Linked DNA regions of Macaca fascicularis. The protein of the gene in region 1 purifies or fractionates together with the protein of each later gene. This does not show direct contact. Links are inferred from orthologs where the notes say so. Each region holds a gene or a part of one and is shown in the gene's direction. Other genes may lie near its edges. The genes, in order: PPP2R2B, IER2, CDCA4, MTCL1, PABIR1, PPP2R1B and IQGAP1.

Region 1 (3,881 bases):
AAGTTCTGGCCCCTGCTCTCCCTCCTATTCCTAGTGGAGGGCTTAAGATAGGCTCTGAGCGGCGCTTTCCACTCTCTCCTCTCTTTCTGAAGCTTCCAGCTCCAAACCTCGCCCTTTAAATTCACCAAGGGACCACATGCATCATATAAGGGTGAGGAAAAGGGACCTGGATGTAGACTTCCTGACTATCCAAAGGAACCTACTTCTCTTTTCTGTCCTCAAGTGCAAGTGTTCGGAGAAGGGCAGTGAGCTAGGGGCTCTGGGTGCTAGCGTAAATGCAGCCCTTAGCTGAGTGGCGCGAGAGGGGAGGAGGTTGGAAGAGCACGTCTATGCATTCCACCTGAACCTGCAAGCTAGTCGCTTGCTGCCCAGGTGCCGATTCGCGGCTGCATGCGCCCCACTGCAGTAAAGAGCAACCGCAGCCTCTGCCTCGGCCACCACCACTGCTGGGAAAGAGTCCTGGGGCTGCTGACGCGGTTGGGAGGAGCCTCGCCTTTAATGCACCAGCCGCCTCCAGCCTCCTGCAGCAGCAGCAGCAGCAGCAGCAGCAGCAGCTGCGAGTGCGCGCGTGTGGGTGTGAGGGTGAGTGCGCTGGCGCCGGCCGCAGCGCCCTGCCCAGCTCCCCGCCAGCTTCCCTACCCCCGCCTGCCGGAGCCGCCCTCCCGTGGGACCAGCACCCTCATTCCGGCCAGGCAAGCCTGAATCCTGTCCCTGCCATCTCGCCACTGCAGCTCGGGTCCAGAAAGGCACCATTTTGTCGCGGCTGCCCGCTCTCCCAGGGGGAGGAGGGATCTTTTTTTGCATTTTGGAGCGGCTGCCAACGAGGGGAACCTGTTGGGCATCTCCCCAGACCCGCTTGTGAGCGCCTCCGGGGCGGGCGGGCGGGACCAGACCCCTCGGGGCACGGCGCATCTTGGCACCCGGAGGCAGCGGAGGCAGGCGCAGCATCCTCGCTGGGAATTGGAGCTGGAGTGAGCGCACCGCGCGGGAGGAGCCGCCGCAGCCTCGCAGAACCCGAGTGGAGGAGGTGACAGCTCCATTGCCGGGTTTTTATTTTTTTTCTCTCCGCCTCCCCGTCTCCTCCTCAGGCTCGGACCATGGTGCAGTCCCACTGGCTCCCCTGCCCCCCTCTCCTGTGAGACTGGCTGCGGGGAGGGATCATGGATACTTGTCTGCCGGCTTCTGGTTCCCACGCAAGTAAGCCTGCTGTCAATGGAGGAGGACATTGATACCCGCAAAATCAACAACAGTTTCCTGCGCGACCACAGCTATGCGACCGAAGGTAACGCCAGCCCCGCCGCATTCCGCCGTTGGGGCCGGGCGCAAGTTGCGGATCACTGTGCTTCGTGGGCAGCTGGGCGCGTAGTGGCGGAGACTCCTCCGGGCCCTGGGGCTGGGGCGGGGGCTCGGCTGGCCCCGGCAGCCGCCAGTGCACCCCGCATCCATCCGGGCTCCGCGAGGCGAGCCCGGCGTTCAGCAGCAGGTGGACCCGGCGCCCACGGGAGTTAAAATGGCCCTCAGGGATTAGGCTTTTCAGGGTGGGGCTCTCGCCCAGAAAGATGACCCCAGGAAGGCAGATGATCCCTTGCCCGAGATGTTTGCGGGGGTTTTGGGGGGAGATAAGAAGGGAGGGGCCCAGTAGGACCTTGGTACCCCCTCCCTGAGCGAAACGATGTTATGTCTCTCAGTGGCTGCAGGGAGGGCATGGTTTCATTTCCTGCCCATTCATCTCCCCGGCCGGCCAGGTTACCTGCTCAGACAATCAAAACCCCAAAGGCCCTTTGCAAACGGCCGAACGTCTTTCCTTTTGGAAGTGCATTAGCAAAAATAAAAAGGTGGCTGGGGAAATAGTGCTCTAGCGGCCAGCGAATGAGGCTGACACGTGGGGCGAGCAACGCGATCGGTGGGGCCTTTAAAAATCACCATTATGAATTCTGCAGCAGTAGTTTCTGCTGAATCAACAGCCAGCAGAAAGCAAGAGGGTTCAGCAAGCTGAGCTTTGCCAAGAGGTGAAATTGTCGTCTCTCCCTCTCTCCCAGCTTGTTCTGACATAAGCCCTAGTGCTGTGCGGGCAGGGAGGGCAAGTCAGCAGGTGGAATCTCATTCTTCCTTTTGTGTGTGAATAGAGAGTAGAGGCATTTTTCCCCCCAATGCCAAAACTTTTGCATTTTTGCTTTCATTTTCTACCTGTAGGCCTTTTATCCTTAGCCACTCCTACAAAGTGTTGCATTATCACATTGTAATATCCATGCGAGAAAATGTATGTGGAAGTTCTTTAGGACAATGTTGCAAGTTGTATTCATTTAAAATTATTATTCTTGGATGCTAACATTTCTGTAATATTTAATCAAATCAAAAGACTACTAGAGAAATGTGATGGGGGAGTAAAATAGTTCAAACTCTGAAAGAAATAAAAAGACACACACACATCTGGGGGTAAAGGTGGCATCTTCTATAAACATCCCTGGAAGTTCTAGATAGAAGGAATGCCCAGTGCTATTGAAAGTATATTCTCAATTTGCCATCATTTTTGGAGAGCATCAAGCCCAGTATGCCCATGGTGCTAGACAGATAAAGCAGAGTTGTAAGCTCTGGCCTCCAGGAGCTTAGAGATGGCTTTTAAGATGTGCAGTCCATCTCTCCCCTATCCAGAGCACCATAGTTACCGATTCTTTTTCTGTGCATGATGGCAACCTGATTGCAAGATGTTCTCCCTCAATCTTAGTGCTTTGTCACTGACTCAGTGACTTGATAGCATATGACTAACTCTGTAGCTAAGCATGTCATCCAAGAGAGAAGCTGGCCTTGGATCTGTTGGCTTTGGGGGGTAAATTTCTTTCTGTTTGTAACCACAAAGAAAGAAAGCTGCCTTCGTGTTTTCTTGTATATTACATTATGCAGGCAAGAGAAACTTAGCAAGCTGAGAAAATGACCAGAGTGGAGCTATGTGTATAGGAGTGTCAACTGTGAAGTGAAGAAATCAGTTTAAAATGGCATTCTTTTATTGTTTTCAGGGCCCTGGATATTACCTTTGTTCTTATTTTTATTCCATTTTTGAAAACTCTGATTCTGGATAGAATATCTAGGTTCATGTAGTCAACAATTAGATATGAGTTTATAGCAATGAGCTTTCTGGTATGTGAGAATCAACCTCTCAGATTTCTTTCTCTTTCTCAAACATATACACATACTAAACACACTTAAAACTAACAAACCTTTATTTCACAGAAGCTTCCAGGTTTTAAAATCTGATCTTAGAGAAGGTATGGAAAGAAAAGGAAAAGAGAACTTAAACGATGTAAATATCAGAAGTTAGATAGAGCAAGAAGTTCCCTATGGTTTTGACCTATTCGTTTCAGGGAAGATTCATGCAATTTTATTGCCAGAGGGGGAAGAGTCCCGGTTCTTCCAATGAATACCTTAAGAAGTGTTAGTATACCTCGAAAGAGCACCAGATCAAAAGACTCTGTTAAAATTATCCTCACTGGGGACTTGCCCCACAAGTTTTCTTCCCCCTTATTAACTTATACCCACTTACTGGGTGGGGAATTAGCTTCTAGCTCCTTCTATAGATCTTGCTTTTCTGTTTCCTTTAATATTTCTACATTTTCCTCCTATCTGCTCAGTTATGTCAGATTGTTCTTTTTTTCCTCCAAAATATCTCCTTCACATGTATTTCTGAATTTTTCTTCCGTTTGCTCAGATCATTCCACATTGCAGTGTTCTATTTAAAGCTGAAAGGTTTTTGCTGTGTAGTTAGTGTGAAGGACTCTAAACTCAATTTGCATTGTAAGTGGTGGCTGCAGGCGAGTTCATCCAGCTAAGAGCAATGCAAATGCTAAAGGACACTTTCACCCAAGCTCCCCTCTCTCAGTCTCTTT
Region 2 (4,011 bases), on another chromosome or scaffold:
TGGGAGATGGCCTTCGTGGGAGCCCTCCGGTCGCCCCTACCCGCTGCGGGGTGCTTTCCTGGCGTCACGCCTTCCTGGCCCCTGGAGGGAAGGAAGTGAAACTCTCCTCCCCACCCACATGGCTGGAATGCGAGTCAGGAAGCCTGGGGCTCCAGCTTGCTCCGGCTGGCTAGACGGGGGATGGGAAGGGGCGTGCCTGGAGCGCAAAGCCCCGCCCCTCGCCCCCCCGGAAGCCCCGCCACCGCCTGGTAAGGCGATCACGGGCCCTTTCCTAATATGGGCAACCGGAAGCGGCCCGCGCGACTGTCCTACGTCACTCCGTCCAAATTTAGTTGTGGAAGTCAGCGGGCGCTGGTGGCGGGAAGGCGCCGCGAGCCAGTGCGGGCGGAAACGGGAGGCGCACCACCCCTTAAAGGGCCCGCACCAGGAATGAATGGAGCCATTCGAACAAGTCTGCATCCTTTTTTTGGAGGAATTGCAATTAGGATTTCTTGGAGAGACGGCGCGTAGCGGAGGGTAAGGCGGAGGTTTTCTATTTGCTGTGTCTCTGCATTGCTGGGTTTCCAGCTCCCAACCGAACCCCGCCTCCCGGAGCGCGGAGGCGGAACTCGTCCCCCCTTGTCTGGGGGGCGGCAGCCACGTGTTCACGGGGACTGTCGTGCGCGCCGGGTTCGCAGCCTTGCGAGCTCTAAACCCACCCATGGAGCTCCTGTCGCAGGAGACTGCGGGGGAATGGCTTGGTACGAATCACGGGAACCCGCAGCGGCTCACCGCCTACAAGCAAGGGCTGTCGTACGCTAGAGACCGAAGAGCTGGAGGCCCCAGTGGCCTCCTTTCACAGCAGTAGCAAATATTGTTTGTCTAGTAAATATTGGCCCAGTGACTGTGCCTTGGTTTCCCCATTTGAAAGAAGCAGATAGAACAGTATCCTCCGAGGAGTGGAGGCTGCGGTTCGGTGAATTACGGATAAAAGGAGAGCTCTTAACCTAGCCTGGCACGTAGTAAGCGCTGTTAGCATGATTATTGGTGCAGAAGACACTCATGGTCAGGCTGGAACCCAGGTCTTTCCCTGTGTGAAGGGAAACTTGCCACCCACGACCCACTGGGGCCTCCAGACGCGAGCATGTGGGTAGGCCCTGAGCCCCATCCCCGGCCCCCCTTCCTTGGGCCAAGGCGCTAATGCATCGGCGGGGCCGAGAGAAAGGAGCCCACCCAGAGAGCTCAGCGTGGAGTGGGGGGAAGCTTCGCCAGGGTTCCCGTCCGCTTTCCCTGCTGGGTAAATCGCATTCTGTCGCTTTAAGGAGTGTTTGGCCGCGACGAGTTGGAAAGCCCGGATGCGTCCTTCGGTTGGGCGGGGTTTCTCAGTGACGTCACTGGGGGTATAAAAGGGCCTGGGTGGCGGGCGCCCGGGCAGAGCGTCCTAGCAGTGTCACCGCGTGGGTTGGTTTGTGGAGAGAGGCGTGAGCGAGCTCGTTGTCCGGAGTGCACCTGCTGCCTGTTCTGTCCGTCCCGGGAGCCCACGCCGCCGTCGCCGTCGAGTCGCCATGGAAGTGCAGAAGGAGGCACAGCGCATCATGACCCTGTCGGTGTGGAAGATGTATCACTCCCGCATGCAGCGCGGTGGCCTGCGGCTGCACCGGAGTCTGCAGCTGTCGCTGGTCATGCGCAGCGCCCGGGAGCTCTACCTCTCGGCCAAGGTAGAGGCCCTCGAGCCCGAAGTGTCCTTGCCGCCCGCCCTCCCCTCTGACCCTCGCCTGCACCCGCCCCGGGAAGCTGAGTCCACGGCCGAGACAGCGACCCCCGACGGTGAGCACCCGTCTCCGGAGCCCATGGACACGCAGGAGGCGCCGACAGCCGAGGAGACCTCCGCCTACTGTGGCCCGCGCCCCGCCAAAGTCAGCCGCAAACGACGCAGCAGCAGCCTGAGCGACGGCGGGGACGCTGGACTGGTCCCGAGCAAGAAAGCCCGGCTGGAAGAAAAGGAGGAAGAGGAGGGGGCGTCATCCGAAGTCGCCGATTGCCTGCAACCGCCCCCGGCGCAAGCGGAGGGCGCCTTTCCCAACCTGGCCCGCGTCCTGCAGAGGCGCTTCTCCGGCCTCCTGAACTGCAGCCCCGCGGCCCCTCCGACGGCGCCGCCCGCGTGCGAGGCAAAGCCCGCCTGCCGCCCGGCGGACAGCATGCTCAACGTGCTCGTGCGGGCCGTGGTGGCCTTTTGAGGACCCCGAGCGGCGCTGCCAGATCCCAGAGCGCGCGTCGAACCGTCGGCCGGAGGGCGCAGACCCGAGACGAGGCCACCCCCCTCCATCCCGGGGGGAGCGCCCGCGAAAACCGTGGAGAGAAGCCGCCGCCCGGGCTGCTGAGAGGCCCGGAGAGGGACTCTGTCCCCGGGGAGCCATCGCCTTCAGTGTGCAGCGACGGCACCGAGGAGTCTGAGCCGGGGGCGCGGGCGCCTTCCGCAGAGACCTGCGCCCAGAGGTCTCTTAGTGGACTGGGACGTGAACCTTTCGCTCTCCTTCTGGACTGGGAGAAGGGAGGCTTGGGTTTTTGTTTTGTATTTTTGTTTTGTTTTGTTTTTTAGATCTCAGGGTCGGACTTGATTTTGTACTGGGGGCTGTGGTGGCCCTTTTCAAGGTTTTTCAAGAGTTGGTTTTGCGTTTCCAACCTCGGAGAATTCCAGGCACTCCCCTTCCCCCTCCACTGACATACTTGTGTAAGCGGTCATCGTTGCGTCATGGGGCAGGCGTGGGGAGCTTCCTGTCGCCTTGCGTGGGTGTGGGGCCTGGGAGGAGGGTCTGGGGCGTGCACCCGCCCTGGGGAGTGGGGAGGAGAATGGCCTGAGTCACTTCATCCCCGCGTGCTGCTGGTTAATGTCCCGCGCCTCTGCACCTTCGGGTGAGAGCGGGGGCTGATCTAGTTTCACATTCAAGTTTTTCTCATCTGCATTAGAGGTGCCCAGTAGGTTCCCAGGTTTCAGCGTGCCCCTCCCTCAGACACGGACACAATCATCCCAGAAGTTCCTGGTCTGAATCACGAGAATGTTGGAGGGGTGGGGGTGTCAGTGGAAAGGCATAAAGCTGAGCTGAGACCAGTTGCTGGTGAAACTGGGCCAATCTGGGGAGGGGAATATCTTTGCCAGGGAGTTCCTGAGGGTCTGTTTTGTTTACCCTTCGTGTGGTGAATTCTTTTTAATTCCGTCTACCTGGCGTTTTGTTAGAAATGTCAGATAGGAAAATAAAGACCATTTGAGTAAAAAAGCCGGTGCTGTCTGGTTTTCTGCTCTGGTGGGGGAGGGGCGGGGTTAAAGGGTCAGGGGCTGGCGGCGGCTCGCTGGGGCCCCAAGAACCGGTCTGACCGGTTACCACGTGGGCGGGAGAGGGCTGGGCCCTCTTTTCCTTGCCCGGGCATTCCCTAACTGGAGCCCCGCCCCCTCCAGATTTGGGGGTTCCCTTGAAATTGTCCTACAACTCCGGGACAGGGAGGTCTGGGCTTTCTGAGTTGAGACGATAGTACTAAACAGTGCCCCAAGCGGAGCTGGGGACTGATCGCCCTTTGAAGCCTTGAAAGGTGGTCGATCTCTCCCCCCGCCCCCACCCCGAGACCAAACTGAATCAGCTGCGGCCGGGGCCCTACAGCCTCAGGTGGAGCTGAGTGGGTGAGCTTTGAAGGGCTATTTATGCCCCAATTCCCGTATCTTCCTGGAGAAATCGCTTTGTGGCTTAGGCAGGGACGTGCAGCCTCAGTTTCTTCATCTGTGAAATGGGCCTCTAAGCAGTGTCTCCACCCGGCTTTAGGTTTTTAAAAATGCCCATTACAGCCCTAGTTATTTGCTTGGGTGACTCCCCAGCTCTAGAATAACCACCCTGAAAGGAGAAAGCCCTTTCAATGTCCCCCACGTATGTTTAGGAGTGGGGTTGTAGGCGTTGCCCCAGGGCGAAGGGAGGGGGCCTGTCGGGAAGACAAAAGAGTCGCAGGTGCGGGGAGTGGTGGCGGCGGGAGGCGCCGGGAAAGCAC
Region 3 (4,385 bases), on another chromosome or scaffold:
CTGTGTAACAAGGCAATACTCTGTCTCTACAAAATTACCAAAAAAAAAAAAAAAAAAAAAAAAGGTTAGCTTGGTGTGGTGGCACACACTTCTGTAGTCCCAGCTACGTGGGAAGCTGAGGCGTGAGGATCACTTGAGCACAAGAGTTCGAGGATACAGTGAGCCATTATCACGCCACTGTCCTCCAGCATGGGCGAAATAAACCCGTTTTGTTTTTTTTTTAAATAAGAACAGTGATTCTTTTCAAGCATAATTCAGATCCCAGTTCCTTCTCTGCTGACCGTCCCAGTAGTCTCCATCCCACTCAGAGAACAGCCTCAAAATCACTCCACCTCTCACATTTAAACTTTCCCACGAGATCACAGGGTTCTTTTTCACTGCACTGAGACTTCTTCCTGCCCCTGCCTCGGGCTTTGTCCTAGCCATTCCTCTCCTGGAATACTCTTCCACTCTTCCTTTTGGTGCTTTAAGACGCCTCTTATCCTAGAGACCTATGTGAGCAGCGCCCCAACGTCACTCCCAGCTTTTTCCGACAGCATTTCAGCATTAACCACTGACCTTGGCGCATCCGCATCTGCGGATTCAGCTGAGGATTCCCCCACCACCAGCACAGGGTTCTCAGCTGCAGCCACGCCTGCCGGGCCTGCTGCAGGCGTTCAAAGAATATTAGACTCTTGTATCCTATTTAAAACCTTTTCCACTAAGAGATTTAAAACACGTGTTTCCCTGCTTTCTACTTTCACGTTACATTTCTTACGTGTAAACCTGGGAAGCCTCTAGAGATAACCGCGGTTTCTGGAGAGGCTGGGATAGACTTCGGAGCCCAGGCCGCCCGGGAACTGCCGTTCCCGGCTCCTCCCCACCCCGGCACGGATCCCTCGGCAGAGAAGTTAACCTAGGCAGAAGCGAGAGAGGATCAGCCCCTACCAGGCTGCCCCGCCACGCCCTCCCGAGGGCACCACGTGGGCCCCCAGCGCAGGCGCATTCAGTTTAGGACCAGACGTGCGGAGACCTGCGAGCCGGCGGGGCTGGGCGGGGCCGGATTGGGCGCGGGGAGACCTGGGAGCCGGCGCGGCGTGGGCGTCGCGGGGCCCGGCGCGGAGGCGGAGGCGGGGGCGGGGCGACCGAGGGCGCGCGCGAGCCCCAACGGCCGTCGCCGCAGCGCGGGAACACGCGCCGCAGATGCCCCGCCCGCGCGGGTTTGAACAAGAGGCCCCGCCCCCGGTCCGTGGGTGGCCAATCAGTGGGCACGGCGCGCGGAGGGCGCAGCGTCGACCCTTTGTGGACGCTGAGTGGCGGTCGCACGCCCCGCCCCGCGCCGGCGGGCGCTCCTCCCTCAGCGGCGGGAAGCTGGTGGCGGCGGCGGTGGCGGCGGCTGAGCAGAGGAGCCGGCGGGCGGCCTCGCGGGTCAGGTGAGCGGGTCTGGCTGACCGCGAGGGCGTCTACGGCGGCGCGCGCGTTTGTGCTGCCGGGCGCGGAGGAGCCCGGGGGCGGTGCGCGGAGTCTGTGGCTCCTGGCGCTGGCTTGGGTCCGGGGCGGAGGCGGCGCTCAGGGTTCCCGCTGGGGCTGCCGCGGGCGCCCTCGCCGCCCTCCTGGGCGCTGGTTCCACCGCGGGGTGGCCGCTGCTGAGGGGGCCCGGGGAACCAGAGGGGCCCGGGCCGCCGTCTGCGTTCCATGCGGATTGCGGAGCTGGGGCTTCGTCGAGGCCTCCGGGCGGCCCCACACGGGAGCGACTTCGCGAGGGCCCGGCTGGGGTACGCAGCGGCGTTTCCTGTACCTCGGCTCTAGTTGCCGCGGAGGGAACGCCGGGCGCGCCCCGCCACGGCCGCCCCCGCCCTGTCCCGGGCCGACCTCACTAACCGGGCCAGGGCGCGCTGCAGCCCCCTCAATTGGATCCCGGCCGCGGAGAGGGCCGAGGATGTGGGAGGAGGCCCAGACCCCGGGCGGGTCGGCCAGCGCCGTCTTTCCTGGGCTCCTCCGGCGTTCCGAGGTGGGATTAGGAAGAGTCCCCGAGACATTTGCAGAAGTCAGAGGCAAGCTTCCCTGCGCGTTTTCAAACGCTTCTCGTCCAGTAAACAGGATCGTCGTGACAAAGGCTCGTACAGCTTGCTGGAATAGAGGGTCTCCGCTGCCTCGCCTCTCCTGTGGCCTTCGTGTGGGACTCACGAGACGGCAGGACCCAGATAACCGTTCTCTCAAAGTGAGCCACAGAAAAACATCGCCTGTTCCCAAAACTTAGGTTTTATAAACTTTCTACGTACAACCACTCTATTTTCAAGTGTCACCATGTTTTATAATTAGGGTGGAAATCAACACAAAGTGAGTTACACCCTTTTTCTAGGAAGAGTGGTAGGCTTTATCTTAGAAAAGGGGCCAGGAAGTTTCCCTCAACTTGCCATTGGAACATGTTTTCAGGGAAAGGAAGGTGTATCGTTCCAAGTAACAAAAGTACCTGAAATTAGCTGGGCGCGGTAGCTCACACTTACCAGCACTTTGGGAGGAGGCCTAGGCGGGTGGATCACCTGAGGTCCCCAGTTCGAGACCAGCTGGCCAACATGGTGAAACCCCGTCTCTACTAAAAATACAAAAATTAGCTGGGCGTGATGGCGCATGCCTGTAATCGTAATCCTAGCTACACGGGAGGCTGAGGCAGAAGAATCACTTGAACCCGGAAGGCGGAGGTTCTCCAGCCTGGACGACAGAGCAAGACTCCGTCTCAAAAACAAAACAAAACAAAAATAACCCCTGAAATTAACGTATCAGTAATTGTTCAGGAACAGCCTCCAGCAGACTGTAGTGGAAGGTGGAGCTCCCACTCAGTAGATCTCAAGACTGAAGACCTTGCTCCTCTTCTTCCTGTTTTTCCGATAGAGTATTTCAAAGCTTATCTGATGTGTGAGAAATGGAAATTGTTGATAATTTGCTTAACCCGAAACTTCGAAGTGGCTGCAAGTCCAGCTGTGAAGGTGACAGGTTAGGTCAGAGTTGAGTCTGTCCCCAGCAGTCCCAGCCCTATTGGTCAGAATCTGGGAATCTGCATTTTCAGCCAGCCTCATGGGATTGCTCAGCCACGAAGGTGTGGCGGCTGCTGCTGTAGTGAAGGGCCGGTCCCTCAGCTGTACTCTGCTTGCCTGAGTAGCACTGCGGGGCTGCTCTCTGCTGGCCTCTGCCTCCGTGGGCTTAGTTTACTCTGTCCCTAGTGGCCTGTAGGCTGTCCCACCTGCCATGTCAGACATATCTTCAGTCTGTCTGACCCTCTTGGTTTTTCTCTTTCTGGTTGATGCTTGGTTTAGAAGCCTAAGGGCGGTGCTGGGAGTTGACTGAGGGGTGAACGACTTGGCTGTCCCGTTGACACCCTGTGGAGTTGGTGGGATTTTAGGCATTTACCTAGATGTGTAGAAGGAGCTTCAAAACTGAGCAGGGGGTCAGGCATGGTGGCTCACACTTGTAATCCAACACTTTGGGAGGCTGAGGTGGTCGGATTGCCTGAGGTCAGGAGTTGGAGATCAGCCTGGACAACATGGTGAAACCCCGTCTCTGCAAAAAATACAAAAATTAGCCAGGTGTGGTGCCACGTGCCTGTAGTCCCAGCTACTCAGGAGGCTGAGGCAGGAGAATCGCTTGAACCTGGGAGGTGGAGGTTGCAGTGAACTGAGATTGCATCACTGCACTCCAGCCTGGGGGACAGAATGAGACTCCTTCTTAAAAAAAAAAAAAATTGAGCAGGGAGCTAGGCTCCACAGCCCCGCCCGTATGGTATAGGGCCCTTCCTTCCATATTAGAAGGAGTTAAGCAGCCTCAGGCCAGAGTCACACTGGAGGCCCTCAGGGAGCTGGGCCCAGCCCAGGCATCCCTCAGGGCTGGTCAAGATGATGCTCTTGGTGACTTTGTCCCAAACACAGATATGGCCCAATTCAGGGTGATCCTCACAGGCCAGCTTCTCCGGGCCCAACCTTATCCTCTTCACCCCTGAACGCACGTTGTGGGTGACAGCTCTTAGGGGTCACGCGACTGTAAAAAACACCTGTGAGCTTTACTCCTTTTTGTATTAATAGTAATAAACTTGTTAGCATTTTAAAATATTGGGTACAACACAGAATTAGCTGCTGGAGATTTGGAACATTGGACAGCAATGATTTGAAGTGACTGAACAGGAATATTCTCATGGTACCAGAATGGGATCTGTGGATGGGATGAGATGCAGTGGAGGATGATGGAGATTCTCTCTCGTCCCTTGTAGGACTTGTATAACCCAGGCACATCTACGCAGGTCCCTGGGTTACGCAAGTGCTACAAGGGGCGAGAGAATCTCCATCATTCTGGAGGATTCCCTCTGGCCCCTTGTAGCATTTCCCACCCGGATGGTGGCTACCCTTCTGTGTTTT
Region 4 (3,881 bases), on another chromosome or scaffold:
CTGGGTTTTGCGCCTCATTTCGTTTTGCCTACTTCGCTCATAACTTGTATGATGATTTCCACGTGCATTTTTTTTTCCAAACTAATTTTTTTTGTTTCTTTTGTTTCTGTGGCAAAGCAACAAACTGTAGGCCTTTCACAGGCCCCAGGCCCACCCCTGCTTTGTCTTGGGTCTTTCTCTGTGTAACTCAACGGCACCGACGGGAAGATCGGTGTTTGATGTTTGTGTGCATTGGGGGCGAGGTGTGAGGGGAATCATGAAAAACACGAACATTTGGTATTTTCAAATAACCCTTCTCCCGGGCTGTTCTTTCCTGGCAGGATGACAGTGCCGATTTGAGGTGCCAGCTCCAGTTTGCCAAAGAGGAAGCCTTCCTGATGCGCAAAAAGATGGCCAAGCTAGGACGGGAGAAGGACGAGCTGGAGCAGGAGCTCCAGAAGTACAAGTCCCTCTATGGAGATGTGGACAGCCCCCTGCCCACGGGGGAAGCAGGCGGGCCCCCCAGCACCCGGGAGGCCGAGCTGAAGCTGCGGCTGAAGCTGGTGGAGGAGGAAGCCAACATCTTGGGCCGGAAGATCGTGGAGCTGGAGGTGGAGAACCGTGGCCTCAAGGCAGAGATGGAGGACATGCGGGGCCAGCAGGAGCGGGAGGGCCTGGGCCGGGACCACGCACCCAGCATTCCTACCTCACCCTTCGGCGACTCCCTGGAGTCCTCCACTGAGCTCCGCCGCCACCTGCAGTTCGTGGAAGAGGAAGCGGAGCTGCTCCGGAGGTCCATCTCCGAGATCGAAGACCACAACCGGCAGCTGACCCATGAGCTCAGCAAGTTTAAGTTTGAGCCTCCCCGGGAGCCGGGCTGGCTCGGGGAGGGTGCGAGTCCTGGTGCCGGGGGAGGGGCACCCCTGCAGGAGGAGCTGAAGTCAGCCAGGCTGCAGATCAGCGAGCTCAGCGGCAAGGTGCTCAAACTGCAGCACGAGAACCATGCGCTGCTGTCCAACATCCAGCGCTGCGACCTGGCAGCGCACCTGGGGCTGCGTGCCCCCAGTCCCCGGGACAGCGATGCCGAGAGCGATGCAGGCAAGAAGGAGAGTGAAGGGGAGGAGAGCCGCCTGCCCCAGCCCAAGCGGGAAGGCCCTGTTGGCGGGGAGAGTGACTCGGAGGAGATGTTCGAGAAGACGTCGGGCTTCGGGAGCGGGAAGCCATCGGAGGCCAGCGAGCCGTGCGCCACGGAGCTCCTGAAGGCCCGGGAGGACTCCGAGTGCCTAGTGACCCTAAAACACGAGGCCCAGCGGCTAGAGCGGACGGTGGAGCACCTCATCGCGGACACCGACAGCTTCCTCCGTGACGCGGGGCTGCAGGGGGGTGCACCCTCGCCGGGGCCTGGCCTCCAGGGTGAAGAGGAGCGGGGCGAGGGGGACCGGCAGGAGCCTCACCTGCTGGGGACCATCAACGCCAAGATGAAGTCTTTCAAGAAAGAGCTTCAGGCCTTCCTGGAGCAGGTGAACCGCATTGGGGATGGCCTATCCCCCTTGCCCCACCTCACAGAGTCCTCTAGCTTCCTCTCCACTGTGACTTCCGTGTCCCGGGACTCCCCCATCGGGAACCTGGGGAAGGAGCTGGGCCCAGACTTGCAGGTAAGGGGGCTCGTGGCTTCGCCTCCCTGCTCCGCCTTGCTCTTCCTCCTTCTCGCTGGCATTGCTGCACTCGGGCTCACGCTGCTCACGGCTGCTTGGTTATGATTTCAAACCTGCATTGTACTAAAGCCTCCGGGGCAACCGGATCCTCTCTCTTGGTTGGGCTCCGTTTTTTTTGTTTTTTGTTTTTTTTTTTTAAGTTTTCTTGTATTGCCTTGTTTCTTTTTCCTTTTTCCTGTCTTATTTTTAACTGCGCCACGGCTCATGGTTTAGAGGCCCTCCCAGACACGAGGCTAAGCCCAGTGGAAGCGATAGGGCTCGACGCAGGCCGGCCTTGCTCCTCTCTTGGTATCTCAACCAACCAGCCACACGCTGAAGAAGCCGTGAGGAGGCTAAGACAAACGCATGTCACAGTCAGGATAATTAGCAGACTCGCTACCAAGCACGTCCCTTCCTGGGTGTGTTTCAAGGGACACAGTGCAGTCCAAGGCCCTAGGCAGCCCAGGCCCCCATTCCCGCTGGAGGATCAGCCAAAGCGGGCGAGGAGCGCGGTGCTGAGAAGGATGATGGTTTTGGTGGAAAAGCGCTGCTGGCTCGTGCCGCCCTGCCGCCGCTGGGGAGGGCGCGGAGGGCCTCCGAGGACTGCTGTCCTAGCCTCGCCTGGGTGCATGGCCCAGCTGCCGCCCTGGACTGTGGCTTTGGCTGCTCGACCCACAAGTAAGGAAGGAAGAGCCTCGTTTTCCGTTTCCTTCACGGGTAGCGTGCTTGCGGTTGAGTTCCGGATTCACGCATCGCCATCGCATGTGCCCCGTAACCAGTGTTTTGCACCCCCACTTTCTCTTTTTGCTTTTCGGATGTGTCCACCCGCCCTTTTGCTCATTCTCATCTTGGGTCTGTTCTCTTCACTTTCGTCCACCGCTGTCTTTAAGCTGGTGTTTCTATTTGTGCTGTTCTTTGGTCGTTTTCTCAGTCGTCTCCCTTACCCATTTTTGTTTTCTTTATCCCCTCTCCCTGCCTCCACCTTCTTGTCCTTTGTGTTTTTTGTTTGTTTGTTTAAAATTTAAAAAAAACAAAAATCCCTCCCGTGCACCTAACAGTCCAGACTGAGAGAGCAGCTAGAGTGGCAGCTGGGGCCGGCCCGAGGGGACGAGCGGGAGAGCCTGCGCCTCCGAACTGCACGGGAGCTGCACCGCCGCGCAGACGGGGACGCCGGGAGCCATGGGCTGGGAGGCCAGACCTGCTTCAGTCTGGAGGTCAGCGTGGGCAAGCAATCCCCGCCCCCCTTCCATTTTCTGTGTGGCTGGCTGCCTGACGTTTTCTGTCCCGGACAAGGCCCTGAGGGAACATGGCAGGAGGATGTGGAACTAGGTGGAACTCACTTGGCAGCAAACCCATTGCGTGCACTGGGACAGGCAGGTGTGTGCAGGTGCATGCGGTGAACTGCTGTGCTTGTCAGACAGAGGGACAGCTCACCGCAGGCGCTGTCCACCTCCTGTTTCCGCAGACCGGGAGCCCCTGGAGGCAGGCCGATTGTTGAGCGCGCAGTGGCTTCTTGTGCAGTTGCAGAGAACAGGGATGAAAACTCAGCCCGGGCTTCCCTGCTCTGGAGGAAACTCCCCTTAGGGCTCCCCTTTTTCAGTTGTTGCCTGTGTCTCGTGTGACCATCCCACGGTCTCGAGTGATACTGCCAGCCGGTTGGTAGAGTCAGGGAGGCTCACTCCTGACCTGTGGGCACCCTCAGCAGGCTCTTTCACCACAGTAACCCGGTGTACACAAGGCTGCAGCCACCACAGGGACCATGGTTGGAACTGTTGTCAGAAGCCTGGGAGAGTGAAAGCTCTTAGACACAGGCCACCCCACCCGGGAGAGAAAGAGGGGGTTCCCAAGGAGCTGTTGAATGAGGAAACACCTCTAAAAGTCCAGATGCTGTGTCAGTGTAAAGTATGATTAGTAATAGAGAATGCAATGTCCTGCCATTGGGGACTTACAAGGGGGAAGTATGTCATAGCTCCCCTAGTCAGGGGCCAGTTTTCCCTTCCCACTGTAGCTCTTCCTTCTTTGCCATGGGCTGTTTCTGGAACCACAGCTCCGGCTACACAGGGCGGCCCCCTTCCCTTTGATGGTTGGTTTTACAGGAACTGCATCTCCCTTTCCAAGTGTTCTGCCCTTCAAGGTGTGTCACACATAGCTGTGTGCAGTTAGAGCCTGTGTCAGACAGCTCTCCTCCCGGATTCTTCCTAGGTCCTT
Region 5 (4,437 bases), on another chromosome or scaffold:
AAAACCCTCCAGTGGCTTTTCATCATACTCAGAATGAGATCCAACTCTTACCCTCTGCTAACACTCGCCGCTCTTATGCTTCAGCAGCACTGCCCTTCTTTCTTTTTCCGCTTACTCAACAAACTCATGGCTGCCTCGGGCCTTAGCACTTGCTATTCTCTCTGCTTGGAATACTCATTCCCCAGATGTCCACGTGACTTGCTGCTGCTTGTCATTTAGATCTCAGCTCTAATTGTCCGCTGCCTTCTATCAGTAGTGCTCCATCACACCATCTTGTTTTTCCTAAGGCTTTACCACTATCTGAAAATAGCCTGCGTTTATTTCTGTATTTTCCCCTCAGTAAGAATTAAAAGTTCTCAGACTAGGGCCCATTTCCTAGCAGTGTTTGGCACATAGTAAGTATGCTGGAAAAAAAAAAAAAAACCTTGACTGAATAAATGAACAAATAAATTCACTTTTAATGAGCTATCAAGGTTTCATATTAATTACATGAGCCAAGAATAGTGTTTTTATTTTTAAAATGTGAGGACCTACTGGTTTTCCTTTAATCCTTCATACTTCACACATATGCTTGTGCTGGAACTATGACTGTAAATCAGTATCAGTACCATCCCCGGTTTTGGCTTTTTCCCCTAACCTAAACAGTTCTCATTTACTTTTCTCTCCATCTCCACTTCCACAGTCACCTTAGTGCAAATTACCATCCTCTCTGGCCTTTTTTCTGTAAGGTTTTAATCTCCCAGTATTTGTTCTCCAGACTGCAGGCCAGTGAGCTTTTCAGTTGCTATTATACCCATGCTTGAAAACCCTTTAAGTTTTCATTGTTCTCAAGATAAAGACCAGAATGTGGTCTGGTCCACCACCTCACGTCACGCCAGCCCTCACTCTCCACTCCAGGCCACACTTTCTCCTCCCCTCCTGGTTCCCGCCTGCCACCTGGCTGGGTCGCCCTTGCTTCCCGCTTCCTGCGAAGTTTTACATCGCACCCATTTCGCCCACTTCTTCGGATTTCAGGACACTGTTCCTTCCTCGAGGAAGCCCTCCCTGATTCGCAAGCGCCACTCCCCGTCATACAGCCCCACATCACCATGGGCCTCTCTTTCAGGGCTTTGTTCGTTTTATAAATATGTACTCCAGAATATGACAATCTTATTGACGTTCGTCAATGCCAGTTTGCGCTCAATAGCTATTTGCTGAAGGAATATACGGACTAGCGGCCCGACCACTCCTCGCCCCTCCCCTACCACTGCCGCGCAGATATTACGCATAAAGCAGGCGCCTCGAGGACGGACATCGCGAGCGCCTGCGCGAAGGGGTACGCATGCGCAGAGGGGCCAGCCCGCTGACAGATTCTCGGTGGCGGCGGCAGCGGCGGCGGCCCTGGACTGCGGGGAATGGGAATCCTAGGTCCCTGACTGAGCACCTCCCCCGCCTCCCTGCCCCCGACATGGCTCAGGAGAAGATGGAGCTAGACCTGGAGCTGCCTCCGGGTACGGGCGGGAGCCCGGCGGAGGGCGGCGGCAGCGGCGGCGGCGGGGGCCTCAGGAGGTCTAACAGCGCCCCCCTGATCCACGGCCTCAGTGACACTTCGCCGGTGTTCCAGGCCGAGGCGCCGAGCGCCAGGCGGAACAGCACAACGTTCCCGAGCCGCCACGGCCTGCTGCTACCGGCCTCCCCTGTCCGCATGCACAGCAGCCGCTTGCACCAGATCAAACAAGAAGAGGGTATGGACTTGATCAACCGAGAGACGGTCCACGAACGGGAGGTGCAGACCGCAATGCAGATAAGCCACTCCTGGGAGGAAAGTTTCAGCCTGAGTGACAACGACGTGGAGAAATCCGCCTCCCCCAAGCGCATCGATTTCATTCCTGTGTCACCGGCACCGTCACCCACTCGGGGAATTGGGAAGCAGTGTTTTTCGCCATCCTTGCAAAGTTTTGTAAGTAGCAACGGATTGCCTCCAAGCCCTATTCCCAGCCCAACGACCCGATTTACCACCCGGAGAAGCCAGAGCCCCATCAATTGCATTAGACCAAGTGTTCTTGGACCATTGAAAAGAAAATGTGAAATGGAAACTGATTATCAGCCAAAGAGATTTTTCCAGGGCATCACCAACATGCTTTCTTCTGACGTTGCACAGCTGTCAGATCCTGGTGTGTGTGTATCTTCGGATACCCTTGATGGAAACAGCAGCAGTGCCGGATCTTCTTGTAACTCACCAGCGAAAGTCAGCACTACCACCGACTCTCCTGTGTCACCTGCCCAAGCGGCTTCTCCATTTATTCCACTAGATGAACTTTCGTCTAAGTGATTCACTCATCCTGAGACTTTCTTTTTGCAGTGGAGAGAGAGAATAATCAAGTTGGGGCAAACACTGAACTTTGTCAATTAATTTGAGGCTATTTCCTATTCGACCCCTTTTCTTTTTTGAAATTTCCTGAAATGATGTTATTCTAGAGAACTTCTATGTCAGGTTCCTGCGGATACCTTTGAATTCAGTGTAGTAATATTTTCAGACGTTTCCCCAATAAGTGTGTTGAAGCATACATCTTTACGCTGCTACTATGTCTAAATACATATGTTATCCCTTGATTTTTTTAAATAATTGAGAGCTCTATTTATTTATGGGATTATTAAGTTCTGATGAAAATATAAATGTTGACTTAATCAGCATAGTAAACTGATGTTTAAAATTCCATACTTCATGCCCACACTAATTTTTAATGTTATTTTCAGTGGTTTGCCGATTTCCATTTGATGAAGAACTATACAGCTTAAAAAAAAAATACGTTAGTTATATCAATCTAGTGGTTGTCTGTTTTACCCAGGAATTCTTGGATATTTAGTTTTCTGGGTACCGAAGTGGGTGGGAGGGGGAATGATTAGAGAACAAATTATAAAAGTTTGCAACAAATCCTTTCAAATTAAGTATATAAAAGTAAACTTTTAAGGAAAACATTTTTAATGAGATTTTAATAGTAATTCTAGTCAGTCATACAACTATATTATAGAGAAAATAAAAATTTTCCTTTTTTTTTTTTTTTTTTAACCAGAAAGTGCATTTGCTTGGGTGCAATCCTAAAGTGAAATGGGACAGTGCCTTGCAGTCTTTGCCCACTGTACATAGGCTAAGGCTAAGCTCTTTGTACTACTGCAAACGTAAAAGTTTTTCAAATGTAGAAAATGTGTGGGAAGGCTTGTTGAACTTTGGCGCGCCCAGGTAAACAATACTCTCTCTCAATTGTTGATATACTTTAAAATATTCAGTTGTGCCTCAGTTCCAAAAATTATTGCCAACCAGGAGCCAGAGCAATTTTTGGCTACTTTTCTGCTCTGCCCATCTGTCACCTTACTGGTTTTCCCTTGTTCAGGAAGGAAGCAGCTGTTTCCTTGCCAACAGGTCCCTTCCTTCATCTCCCACCAAAGTAGGGCACCATTGATTAGACAAAGGTACAGTGTAACTTGGATTTCTGACAGCAACAACAGGACTGAATTGTTTAACCTCTGTGGTTAAAGCTACAGCTTGAGTTGACTGCCTTGGGGATGTCCATTAATTAAGGGGTGATGATTTGCAAGAGAAAATTAGTGGAGAGTCACATAGGTAAATCATTATTTAACTTAGGTTTTGCTAAAGGTAGAATAGTCGAATGTTCTTTTCTTTGCCTTTACAATTAAGACAATAAGAATAACAAAATTTTCTTAATATTCTTCCTTATACCTCATATAGCTTCCTTAACTAGATAGTTTGACAGAAAGAATGGCATACAAAGAGGAAAGGGGAAAAATGACTCAGAACAAGACAAAAGCTCTGACTTTTTAAAGTTATCACTTACAGAGACTAACAATTTTGTGGAATTTTTACGACTATGAAAATAAATGGAACTGGTCAACTCTTGATGGTTGCCTCAAGATGGAGTGAAATTGCATTGAGGGTAAGACTGTGTCCACAGGTTTAAAATTCTCTCTTCTGAGTAATAGTGTTCATGTGCTCCCATTCTCAACCTTGTTCTTCAAATTCAAACTTAAATAGTCTGACTTCTTGTTGGGTAACTTGCCCTGCCTCCAGAGGTATTTAAACTTCATTATCTTCAACACAGAAATTGTTAATCTTCTCACTTCACCTATTCTTGCATTATCTCAATTGATGTCATCACTAATTTCCTAAACTAGAAATCATGGAAGCATCTTTGACTTTTCCTTTTCTCTGTTGGATTAGCTTAATCACCAAGTCCTGTCAACTTCTGAAATGAATCTCAAATTTCTTCCCTTCTCTATCTGTTGCCCCTGATTTTGCCTTAAGTTTTTGCCTGAGTGATCTCCCAGGCTGTTTTCTGTCTCCTTTTGGTTCAGTCTTTATACTGCCTCTTGAGAAATCTTTCTAAAATTTAAACTTGATATTTTTCACCCTCTTGCTTGAAAACTTCATTTGCTTCCCCA
Region 6 (4,374 bases), on another chromosome or scaffold:
CACTCTGCCGCCCAGATTGGAGTACAGTGGTGCGATCCTGGCTCACTGCAACCTCTGCCTCTGGGGCTCAAGAGATTCTCATGTCAGCCTCCTGAGTAGCTGGGACTACAGGTGCCGGTCACCAGCCCAGCTAATTTTTGTATTTTTAGTAGAGATGGGGTTTCACCAAGTTGGCCAGGCTGGTCTCGAACTCCTGGCCTCACGTGATCCGTCCGCCTCGGCCTCAGACCCCATGTTTTAAAAAAGTCTGTCTCCTACACTGCATTAATAGTTTCATTAATCAGGCATATAGAATTACCATTTCGGAGCTTGTGATCACCATATGTAGTTATCACTCCAAGCTGCTTAAATTCCAGTCTAAAACAAACAAAACATTCTAATTATTCTGTGCTACCCTGACAAGGATAAGTGAAAACTTTCCATTCAGGTTTGTAAGAACGAGCTCCCAGACCTCCACCTCTTCCCCTTGCTGCCTCTGAGGACTCTTGGAGGTCTAGGGAGGCCAGTTTGGGTTTTCTTCCTCAAGGGATTAAAGCTTGTCCTAGTTTTGCTTCATTGTTGTACTTCTAGCATGCTAAAGAGCTAAAAAATGGGAGGAAGAAAATACAACAGAAGGCACCATTCCAGTACCAAACTGAAAAGAAACACAAAAACAAGAGAGCAGCATGTTTTTAACAGCTTGCGTGGAAAAAATATTGACTGGGGAGTTTGGACAGCACTGTTCATTTTCTCTCACCGCCCGCGTTATTTGTCTTACGGAGCAGGAGCCAGATACCATTCTGGAGAACAGGCCGACGGAAGAGGTGGAGGGGTTCTGTGGAAGCTTGAGGCTGAGCGGAGAAATTAGGGCTGGAGATCCAGTGGCTCAGGGCCAGGATGAAGTCAGGGGAGGTGCTAAAGCCTTTTTCCTCCTGGCCTCGGGCACTCTCTTTGGTCCGCCTGAGTCTTAAGAGGGCACAGCGCGGATCACTCAGGTAGGTCCCTGGCCCCTTCAGACTACAACGAGCCGGATGAATCCCTGTCCCTGTTTCTTTCGGCTGGGGAAAGGACGCAGGGGTTCCATTCGCTTTCTCAGCCCACCCGTCTTCTTGAGTTCAGACCTACAACTCCTGCAGTGGGGGTCGGAAGGGAGTCTTAATCATCGGGACAGAAACTCAACTCCCCAACCTCTGCTAAACCCGCGCGGCGGCCTTCTCCCCTGCTGCCCGGGCGCGGGGCGGGGCCTGGGCGCGGGGCGGGGGCGGGGCCTGGGCGCGGGGCGGGAGGCTGTGACCAGCAGCAGGAGGAGAAAGAACATGGCGGGCGCATCGGGGCTCGGGACCGGCCCAGGAGCAGCGGGGGGAGATGGAGATGATTCGCTATACCCAATCGCGGTTTTAATCGACGAGCTCCGCAATGAAGACGTGCAGGTACTGGACTGAGGCCGGGGAGCCGAGGCGAGACCGACTGGTCGCGTGGTAGAGAAGGGGGAAGGCCTGCGCCTCGGTGGGGGTGGCCGGGGTACTGAATGAGCCGGACTCGTAGCAGAAACTTGAAGGGGAGGCAGGGAAAGCTCTGCGAGGGGCTGTGGTGACACGCCTCGACCCTCCCGGGGACCTCTCTGGTACCCCTGCTTCGGACCCCCTAAGGGGTCCGCCCGGAGCCTTGCCTTTCCAGGGCGGTTGTCGGGGAACCCGCTTCCCGCCTGGGCGCCCTATCCGGGCTGTGAGGTGGCCGCGCCTGGTAGGCGAGGGAGCTGGAGAAGCGCGGTGCCGGGCCGAGACGGGGCTGGAGCGGCTGAGGGGCGCAGGATGCCCAGAAGCTCTTTGAAGTGCCTCGGAATCCCTTCATCTGGGCTTGGAACTGGCTCGTCCTGTTGGGTAGAAAGAGGGGGTGGGATGGCCGATTAACCTGGACGAGTCGTTGTATCAGCTCTGCGGGAACTTTTCTTTGAAACCACAGGCGTTGTATTCAACCGTTTCACCTGCTTCACCACTGCCAAAGTCCTCTCTTTTTAAGATTATCTTACTTCCTGGGTGTTGTATTGTCTTTCATTCATTTCTCTTCCAGGCCCTTCTGAGTGTTTCTCCCAGGAAATCTTCCGCCGGCTAGTGAGGCCGAGTTACACTCCTCCGTCCTATGGAGGTTCCTTAACAGTAAAATCTAAGTAAAAGGTTATCTTCGTTCTTACCCCTGTGTCATTATTTCACCTGTTAGCACCTTTTGTCTTTTGATCTAAATTCAGCCGTTTCTTTACATTGTTCTTCTTTCTACTTTCTTTTCTGAAGCTCCGACTCAACAGTATTAAGAAGTTATCAACAATTGCCCTAGCACTTGGAGTAGAAAGGACGCGAAGTGAATTGTTGCCATTTCTTACAGGTATGTGAATCTTTGTTTAAAGAAAGGCAGGGACATTCATTTTCCAGGGACTTTCGACACTGACTTTTTTAGAGTTTGTTACCCACATTAAAATGAGCCAGGTGCTTTCTGTGCAAAAGAAACAGAACAGAGGATATTATTAGTTGTGGTTAGATATATTCAAACATCAACCATTTAGCTGTTGGGAAAGTAATTGATATGGGAGTATGAATTTCTAATTCGTTGTGCAAAACAGATCCAGGAAGATGGTTGATTGAGGAGAAGGAAGAAAATGCTGTTAGGATTTTGACTGGGCCACCTTACCGGTCGCATAGTGAATCTGTTCCTAGTTTTGTGTCAGTGTCCAGCTATGTGAGAGCTATCCATGTTGATGAGTCCCTGTTGTTGTCCCTTCCAGATACAATTTATGATGAAGATGAGGTACTATTAGCTCTTGCTGAGCAGCTGGGAAATTTCACTGGCCTAGTGGGAGGTCCTGACTTTGCCCACTGTCTGCTGGTGAGTATTTATAAGCTGCCTACCCTCCTAGAACTTTTGCAGTATAAATGATACACAGTTTGGTGATAGACACACTGCAGCATTTTTTATGCAGATCTTTTTATGGGCAGATAGTCATGTGAGTCATTGAGAGAAGAAATACTATAGGCACTTTGGACTCAACCCCTTCTTTTTTTTCTGTGAATAAGAGAACTTCGTCCTTCTTTTCTGCATCTGTAGACTTACTAGTTTAGATGGAGGTAGAAAAAGGATTTGATTGTTTTAATGGTTCCCCCGCATGATGTTGGAAACCTTAATTCTCACCTGGCAGCATTTTGTCTTTGTCAATTGTAACTTTTGCTTCTGACTTTCTGATGCAAATTGATGAATTTTTGATGAATTTGGTTCAATTTCATTGACATTTATTAAGAGTCTACTTTTTGGGAGGCCGAGACGGGCGGATCACGAGGTCAGGAGATCGAGACCATCCTGGCGAACACGGTGAAACGCCGTCTTTACTAAAAAATACAAAAAAACTAGCCGGGCGAGGTGGCGGGCGCCTGTAGTCCCAGCTACTCGGGAGGCTGAGGCGGAAGAATGGCGTAAACCCGGGAGGCGGAGCTTGCAGTGAGCCGAGATCCGGCCACTGCACTCCAGCCTGGGCGACAGAGCCAGACTCCATCTGAAAAAAAAAAAAAAAAAAAAGAGTCTACTTTATCAGACATATCGTAATTTACAATGTTAATGTTGAAGAAGACCAATGTGAGGGGGCTTGGTGGCACAAGCCTGTAGTACCAGCTACTCAGGAGGCTGAGATGGGAGGATCACTTGAGCCCAGGAGTTTGAATTCAGCCTGGGCAACATAGTGAGATCCCCATCGCTTAAAAAAAAAGAAAATGACCACCAAAGTGAATTGAATGAGGTCCCTTGCCTTTATGCGTCAGCAAATAATTACTGTGCAGTCTTAAATGGAAAGGTGTAAGTACCTACAAAATACCCTACCCACGTAATAGAGGGGAGAAAGAGATTCACTCAGGGTGATCAGGGAAGACCTTGGGAGATGATGTCTAAACTAGGTTTTAAAGGATGACCAGGAATTCAACAGATGGACAAGGTAGGGATGTATGCGTCAGGGCTTTCAATACTGGGTAGTAATACTGATTCTGGTGATTTCTATCTCTAGTTCTGGTTTTTCCATGGAACTCCTGAGGTAGATTGATTAATAGATAAGTATGAATATATAGATATAGATACATATATTTCTATGTATACAGGCCTATGCTTTTTTCTACTTGAATGTCAAACAGGTATTTCAAACTTAACATACACAAAACAAAACTTAGCTTTATCCCCCAAATACACTTCTCATTTAGTTGTTCCACTTAAGTAAATGGTATCACTGTCTTCCCAGTTGGACAAGCCAAAACCTAGAATATATTCTTGAATTCTCTTTCCCTTGTTCCCCACATCTAATCCATTAGTAATTCCTATAGAGTCTACGTATATTTCAAATCAGTCCACTTTCTTCCATCCCTCTTA
Region 7 (3,881 bases), on another chromosome or scaffold:
TGTAAGTCCACTCAGTAGCTTGAAATTTTTTTCTCATTTTGATTTGATGTAGGTACTTAAAGGTTAGATGCACTTCTGACAAGGTGTGTGTAAAGTTTATGTTTGTAAACCACATCCTATCTTAAATCCAAAAAGAACTCGGGAGTAATTCATTTTTACAGCATAAAGATCCCTAAGTTTTATTTTGAAATATCTGATTTTTACACGTTAAAAAATAGCAGGGCATTGAGAGGATTCCTAGGTGACGTCCAGACTCCTTTAGCTTTGTGTGTGTGGCACCAGTTAGTCTGCTCCCGTCTCCTTTCTTGCACTGCTTCACACAGCCATGCCCTGCCAGCCTGGGCAGGTGCCTTCCTGTGAATGTGCATTTGGACTTCTGCTCATGCTGCCCTCCCTCCCCTCCCCTGCCTTCCAACCCCACCCCTTTTGTTCCTCCATCATTTGTCAAGTACTTCCATGTGTGTACCTCCCCCAGCCAAGCCATAATAGGTGGTTTCCCCTTCACTTCTGTAGCCTTTGCAGACATCCTCTGTTTACAGTAGGTGTTGACTTACTTCCCCTCTCCCCGCTAAAGCCATAAACTCCTTAAGGACAGGTAGCATTTCTTAGTCATCTTCGTTTCCTTGTCAGTGACCAGTAGACCATTAAAACATGTTAGCTAAACAAATGTGAAATGATTTTGTGATGCACACAGCTAACTGAAATACTTCCACCAAAAAAAAAAGGAACCTCATTCCCTCAGTTCACCAAATTGTTATTGTTTTAATTTTAAAATTTTTTTATTTTATTTACGTGGAGTTATCAGAACATATTTTTATTTTTAAATTTCTTAACCAAATTGTGTTAGGCCAACCAGTCTGCCTATGGTAATTTATTAATTTATGTACAAATTCATTAAATGTGGGGTGACTGCCAGGTGTGGGGTATTATGTTAGGCACAGGTGCCAGCAGCCTTCATGGAGCTGCTAGGATTTTTCCAGCAGATGATTGAACTTGTGGGGTCCTTTCTTTTTTTTTTTTTTTTTTTTTGCGGTTGGGTGGGGGAGCGGTGGAGTCTCACCCTGTCGCCCAGACTGGAGTGTAGTGGTGTGATCTCCACTCACTACAACCTCCACCTCCTGGGTTCAACTGATTGTCCTGCCTCAACCTCCTGAGTGGCTGGGATTACAGGTGTGCACCATCACGCCCGGCTAATTTTTTTTTTTTTTTTTTTGAGACAGAGTTTCGCTCTTATTGCCCAAGCTGGAGTGCAATGGCGCAATCTCGGCTCACTGCAACCTCCACCTCCCGGGTTCAAGTGACTCTCCTGCCTCAGCCTACTGAATAGCTGGGAATACAGGCGTGTGCCACCACGCCGGATGCCCAGCTAATTTTTGTATTTTTAGTCGAAACAGGGTTTCACCATGTTGGCCAGGCTGGTCTCTAACTCCCTACTTCATGATCCACCTGCCTCAGCCTCCCAAAGTGCTGGGATTACAGGCGTGAGCCACCGCACCCGGCCTTGTGGGGTCCTTTCAAGCCTTTTGACCCTTGCTTTCTCATCACCATTTTTCTAAAGTTTAGAAGTGAGAATGCTCAGATTTCTTAAACTTGTTCAGGACAATGGCGAAAGTAACAGGAAAAGCAAGAGCATTGCAGTCAGATCTGGATTTACCACGTCCATCTCTGTCCTGTGGTGCAAGTCATTTAACATCTCAGAGCCTCGATAGCTCATCTTTAAAATTAGGATGATCGCACCTCATAAAAATTTTTGTGAAGACTTTTAAAAGATGCTATATAATGTGCTTACACAATACCAAGCACATGGCAGACACCTAATAAAACATCAAGTTCTCTCTTTTCTCCTTGCCTTCAGGATAAAAAGTTTTCTCATGTTACCGGGCGCGGTGGCTCACGCCTGTAATCCCAGCACTTTGGGAGGCCGAGGTGGGCTGATAATGAGGTCAGGAGATCGAGACCATCCTGGCTAACACGGTGAAACCCCGTCTCTACTAAAAATACAAAAAATTAGCCGGGCGTGTGGTGGGTGCCTGTAATCCCAGCCGCTCGGGAGGCTGAGGCGGGAGAATGGCATGGACCCAGGAGGCGGAGCTTGCAGTGAGCTGAGATTGCCCCACTGCACTCCAGCCTGGGTGGCAGAGCGAGACTCCGTCTCAAAAAAAAAAAAAAAAAAAAAAGTGAGTGTTCTTATGTGGAATAGAAATTAAGAATCTAGGGCCGGGCGCGGTGGCTCAAGCCTGTAATCCCAGCACTTTGGGAGCCGAGACGGGCGGATCACGAGGTCAGGAGATCGAGACCATCCTGGCTAACACGGTGAAACCCCGTCTCTACTAAAAACTACAAAAAAAAAAAAAGTAGCCGGGCGTGGTGGCGGGCACCTGTAGTCCCAGCTACTCGGGAGGCTGAGGCCAGAGAATGGCGTAAACCTGGGAGGCGGAGCTTGCAGTGAGCTGAGATCCGGCCACTGCACTCCAGCCCGGGCTACAGAGCGAGACTCCATCTCAAAAAAAAAAAAGAAATTAAGAATCTAGCAGATAGTATTGAGGTGACATTACCAGCCTTGTCTCATTTCCCATGCTTAGTATATTTTATCGTAGGTTTAATCTTCACCTTTTCCAGATTTATTAAAACTAGTGACCCATAACATGGATGAAATGCGAAAATGTCATTGTGACTTCTGAAATAAAAAGCTTAGGTGTGTGTGGCAACTGAACATGTTTCTTTTTCTTTCCATGTATGATGAATTTTGATATGAACAACATGACTTCCTAACTCCAAATCAACCAGAAGAGCCTTTTGGCCAGTGCGCCCTATTGCTCCAGCTCTCAGGCTGGTTGTGCAGTGGGTAGTTTCCTAGCTAGGAACTTTTCTTTCACCCCAGTTCACATCTGGCACACAAGGCAGGCCTCAGTCCATCTGGAGCCCTCCCTACCTTGTGTCCTTTTTCCTTGTTCCACAGACTTGATTAACTGTCAAAATGTTTTGTTTTGTTAATAGGACCTGCTGCAGCTACAATATGAAGGAGTTGCAGTCATGAAATTATTTGATAGAGCTAAAGTAAATGTCAACCTCCTGATCTTCCTTCTCAACAAAAAGTTCTACGGGAAGTAATTGATCATTTGCTGCCAGCCCAGAAAGATAAAGGAAAGAAGCACCTCATAGCTCCTTTCTAGGTCCTTCTTGACTCATTGGAAGCAAAGACCTAGCCCACAACAGCGCCTCAGTCTGATACACTCCCGATGCCACATTTTTAACTCCTCTCGCTCTGATGGGACATTTTGTTACCCTTTTTTCATAGTGAAATTGTGTTTCAGGCTTAGTCTGACCTTTCTGGATTCTTCATTTTCTTCCATTACTTAGGAAAGAGTGGAAACTCCACTAAAATTTCTCTGTTGCTACAGTCTTAGAGGTTGCATTACTTTATTGTAAGCTTTAGTGTTTGTTTTAATTACCAATAGGGATGGTAGGATTCAAATTTTTGTCATTTAGAAGTGGAAGCCATTAGCACCAATGACATACATACAGGATGCACAACTAAAATGTCATGTTATTAACAGTTATTAGGTTGTCATTTAAAAGTAAAGTTCCTTTATATTTCTGTCCCATCAGGAAGATTGAAGGATATGGGGAATCATTTGTTATCTTCCATTGTGTTTTTCTTTATGGACAGGAGCTAATGGAAGGGATGGTTGTATGTTCAAAGGAAGCATTTCTAGAAAAAAGGAGATACTGTTTTTAAATTTCATCATCAAACTTGGGCAGTTCTGTTTGTGTAACTCCCCGACTAGTGGATGGGAGAGTCCCATTGATAAAATTCAGCTACTTAGATAAATTTGGAATGGGTTGAGACACCTGCCTGTTTGTGTTGGTGCACAGAGATT

The links.
Region 2: the proteins of PPP2R2B (region 1) and IER2 purify together in Homo sapiens (affinity purification with mass spectrometry; 3 studies listed by BioGRID and IntAct, with this or other methods). This does not show direct contact. The link is inferred for Macaca fascicularis from reciprocal best matches to the Homo sapiens genes PPP2R2B and IER2.
Region 3: the proteins of PPP2R2B (region 1) and CDCA4 purify together in Homo sapiens (affinity purification with mass spectrometry; 4 studies listed by BioGRID and IntAct, with this or other methods). This does not show direct contact. The link is inferred for Macaca fascicularis from reciprocal best matches to the Homo sapiens genes PPP2R2B and CDCA4.
Region 4: the proteins of PPP2R2B (region 1) and MTCL1 purify together in Homo sapiens (affinity purification with mass spectrometry; 4 studies listed by BioGRID and IntAct, with this or other methods). This does not show direct contact. The link is inferred for Macaca fascicularis from reciprocal best matches to the Homo sapiens genes PPP2R2B and MTCL1.
Region 5: the proteins of PPP2R2B (region 1) and PABIR1 purify together in Homo sapiens (affinity purification with mass spectrometry; 4 studies listed by BioGRID and IntAct, with this or other methods). This does not show direct contact. The link is inferred for Macaca fascicularis from reciprocal best matches to the Homo sapiens genes PPP2R2B and PABIR1.
Region 6: the proteins of PPP2R2B (region 1) and PPP2R1B purify together in Homo sapiens (affinity purification with mass spectrometry; 4 studies listed by BioGRID and IntAct, with this or other methods). This does not show direct contact. The link is inferred for Macaca fascicularis from reciprocal best matches to the Homo sapiens genes PPP2R2B and PPP2R1B.
Region 7: the proteins of PPP2R2B (region 1) and IQGAP1 purify together in Homo sapiens (co-immunoprecipitation; 3 studies listed by BioGRID and IntAct, with this or other methods). This does not show direct contact. The link is inferred for Macaca fascicularis from reciprocal best matches to the Homo sapiens genes PPP2R2B and IQGAP1.

The regions. Positions count from the first base shown.
Region 1 is NC_088380.1:153,678,895-153,682,775, reverse strand, and holds part of PPP2R2B (serine/threonine-protein phosphatase 2A 55 kDa regulatory subunit B beta isoform), read left to right. Parts: intron 1-505; exon of another isoform or gene 506-692; intron 693-1,088; coding exon 1,089-1,282; intron 1,283-3,881. UniProt on the Homo sapiens protein: The B regulatory subunit might modulate substrate selectivity and catalytic activity, and might also direct the localization of the catalytic enzyme to a particular subcellular compartment.
Region 2 is NC_088393.1:13,559,490-13,563,500, forward strand, and holds IER2 (immediate early response gene 2 protein), read left to right. Parts: upstream 1-1,412; 5' UTR 1,413-1,544; coding exon 1,545-2,216; 3' UTR 2,217-3,254; downstream 3,255-4,011. UniProt on the Homo sapiens protein: DNA-binding protein that seems to act as a transcription factor. Involved in the regulation of neuronal differentiation, acts upon JNK-signaling pathway activation and plays a role in neurite outgrowth in hippocampal cells.
Region 3 is NC_088381.1:173,204,030-173,208,414, reverse strand, and holds the start of CDCA4 (cell division cycle-associated protein 4), read left to right. Parts: upstream 1-1,338; 5' UTR 1,339-1,918; coding exon 1,919-2,200; intron 2,201-4,385. UniProt on the Homo sapiens protein: May participate in the regulation of cell proliferation through the E2F/RB pathway. May be involved in molecular regulation of hematopoietic stem cells and progenitor cell lineage commitment and differentiation.
Region 4 is NC_088392.1:77,204,071-77,207,951, forward strand, and holds part of MTCL1 (microtubule cross-linking factor 1), read left to right. Parts: intron 1-320; coding exon 321-1,634; intron 1,635-2,731; coding exon 2,732-2,887; intron 2,888-3,875; coding exon of another isoform or gene 3,876-3,881. UniProt on the Homo sapiens protein: Microtubule-associated factor involved in the late phase of epithelial polarization and microtubule dynamics regulation.
Region 5 is NC_088389.1:99,502,894-99,507,330, forward strand, and holds PABIR1 (PPP2R1A-PPP2R2A-interacting phosphatase regulator 1), read left to right. Parts: upstream 1-1,347; 5' UTR 1,348-1,447; coding exon 1,448-2,311; 3' UTR 2,312-3,894; downstream 3,895-4,437. UniProt on the Homo sapiens protein: Acts as an inhibitor of serine/threonine-protein phosphatase 2A (PP2A) activity. Inhibits PP2A activity by blocking the substrate binding site on PPP2R2A and the active site of PPP2CA.
Region 6 is NC_088388.1:110,685,893-110,690,266, reverse strand, and holds the start of PPP2R1B (serine/threonine-protein phosphatase 2A 65 kDa regulatory subunit A beta isoform), read left to right. Parts: upstream 1-1,268; 5' UTR 1,269-1,295; coding exon 1,296-1,409; intron 1,410-2,267; coding exon 2,268-2,358; intron 2,359-2,755; coding exon 2,756-2,856; intron 2,857-4,374. UniProt on the Homo sapiens protein: The PR65 subunit of protein phosphatase 2A serves as a scaffolding molecule to coordinate the assembly of the catalytic subunit and a variable regulatory B subunit.
Region 7 is NC_088381.1:75,037,333-75,041,213, forward strand, and holds part of IQGAP1 (ras GTPase-activating-like protein IQGAP1), read left to right. Parts: intron 1-2,997; coding exon 2,998-3,111; 3' UTR 3,112-3,881. UniProt on the Homo sapiens protein: Plays a crucial role in regulating the dynamics and assembly of the actin cytoskeleton.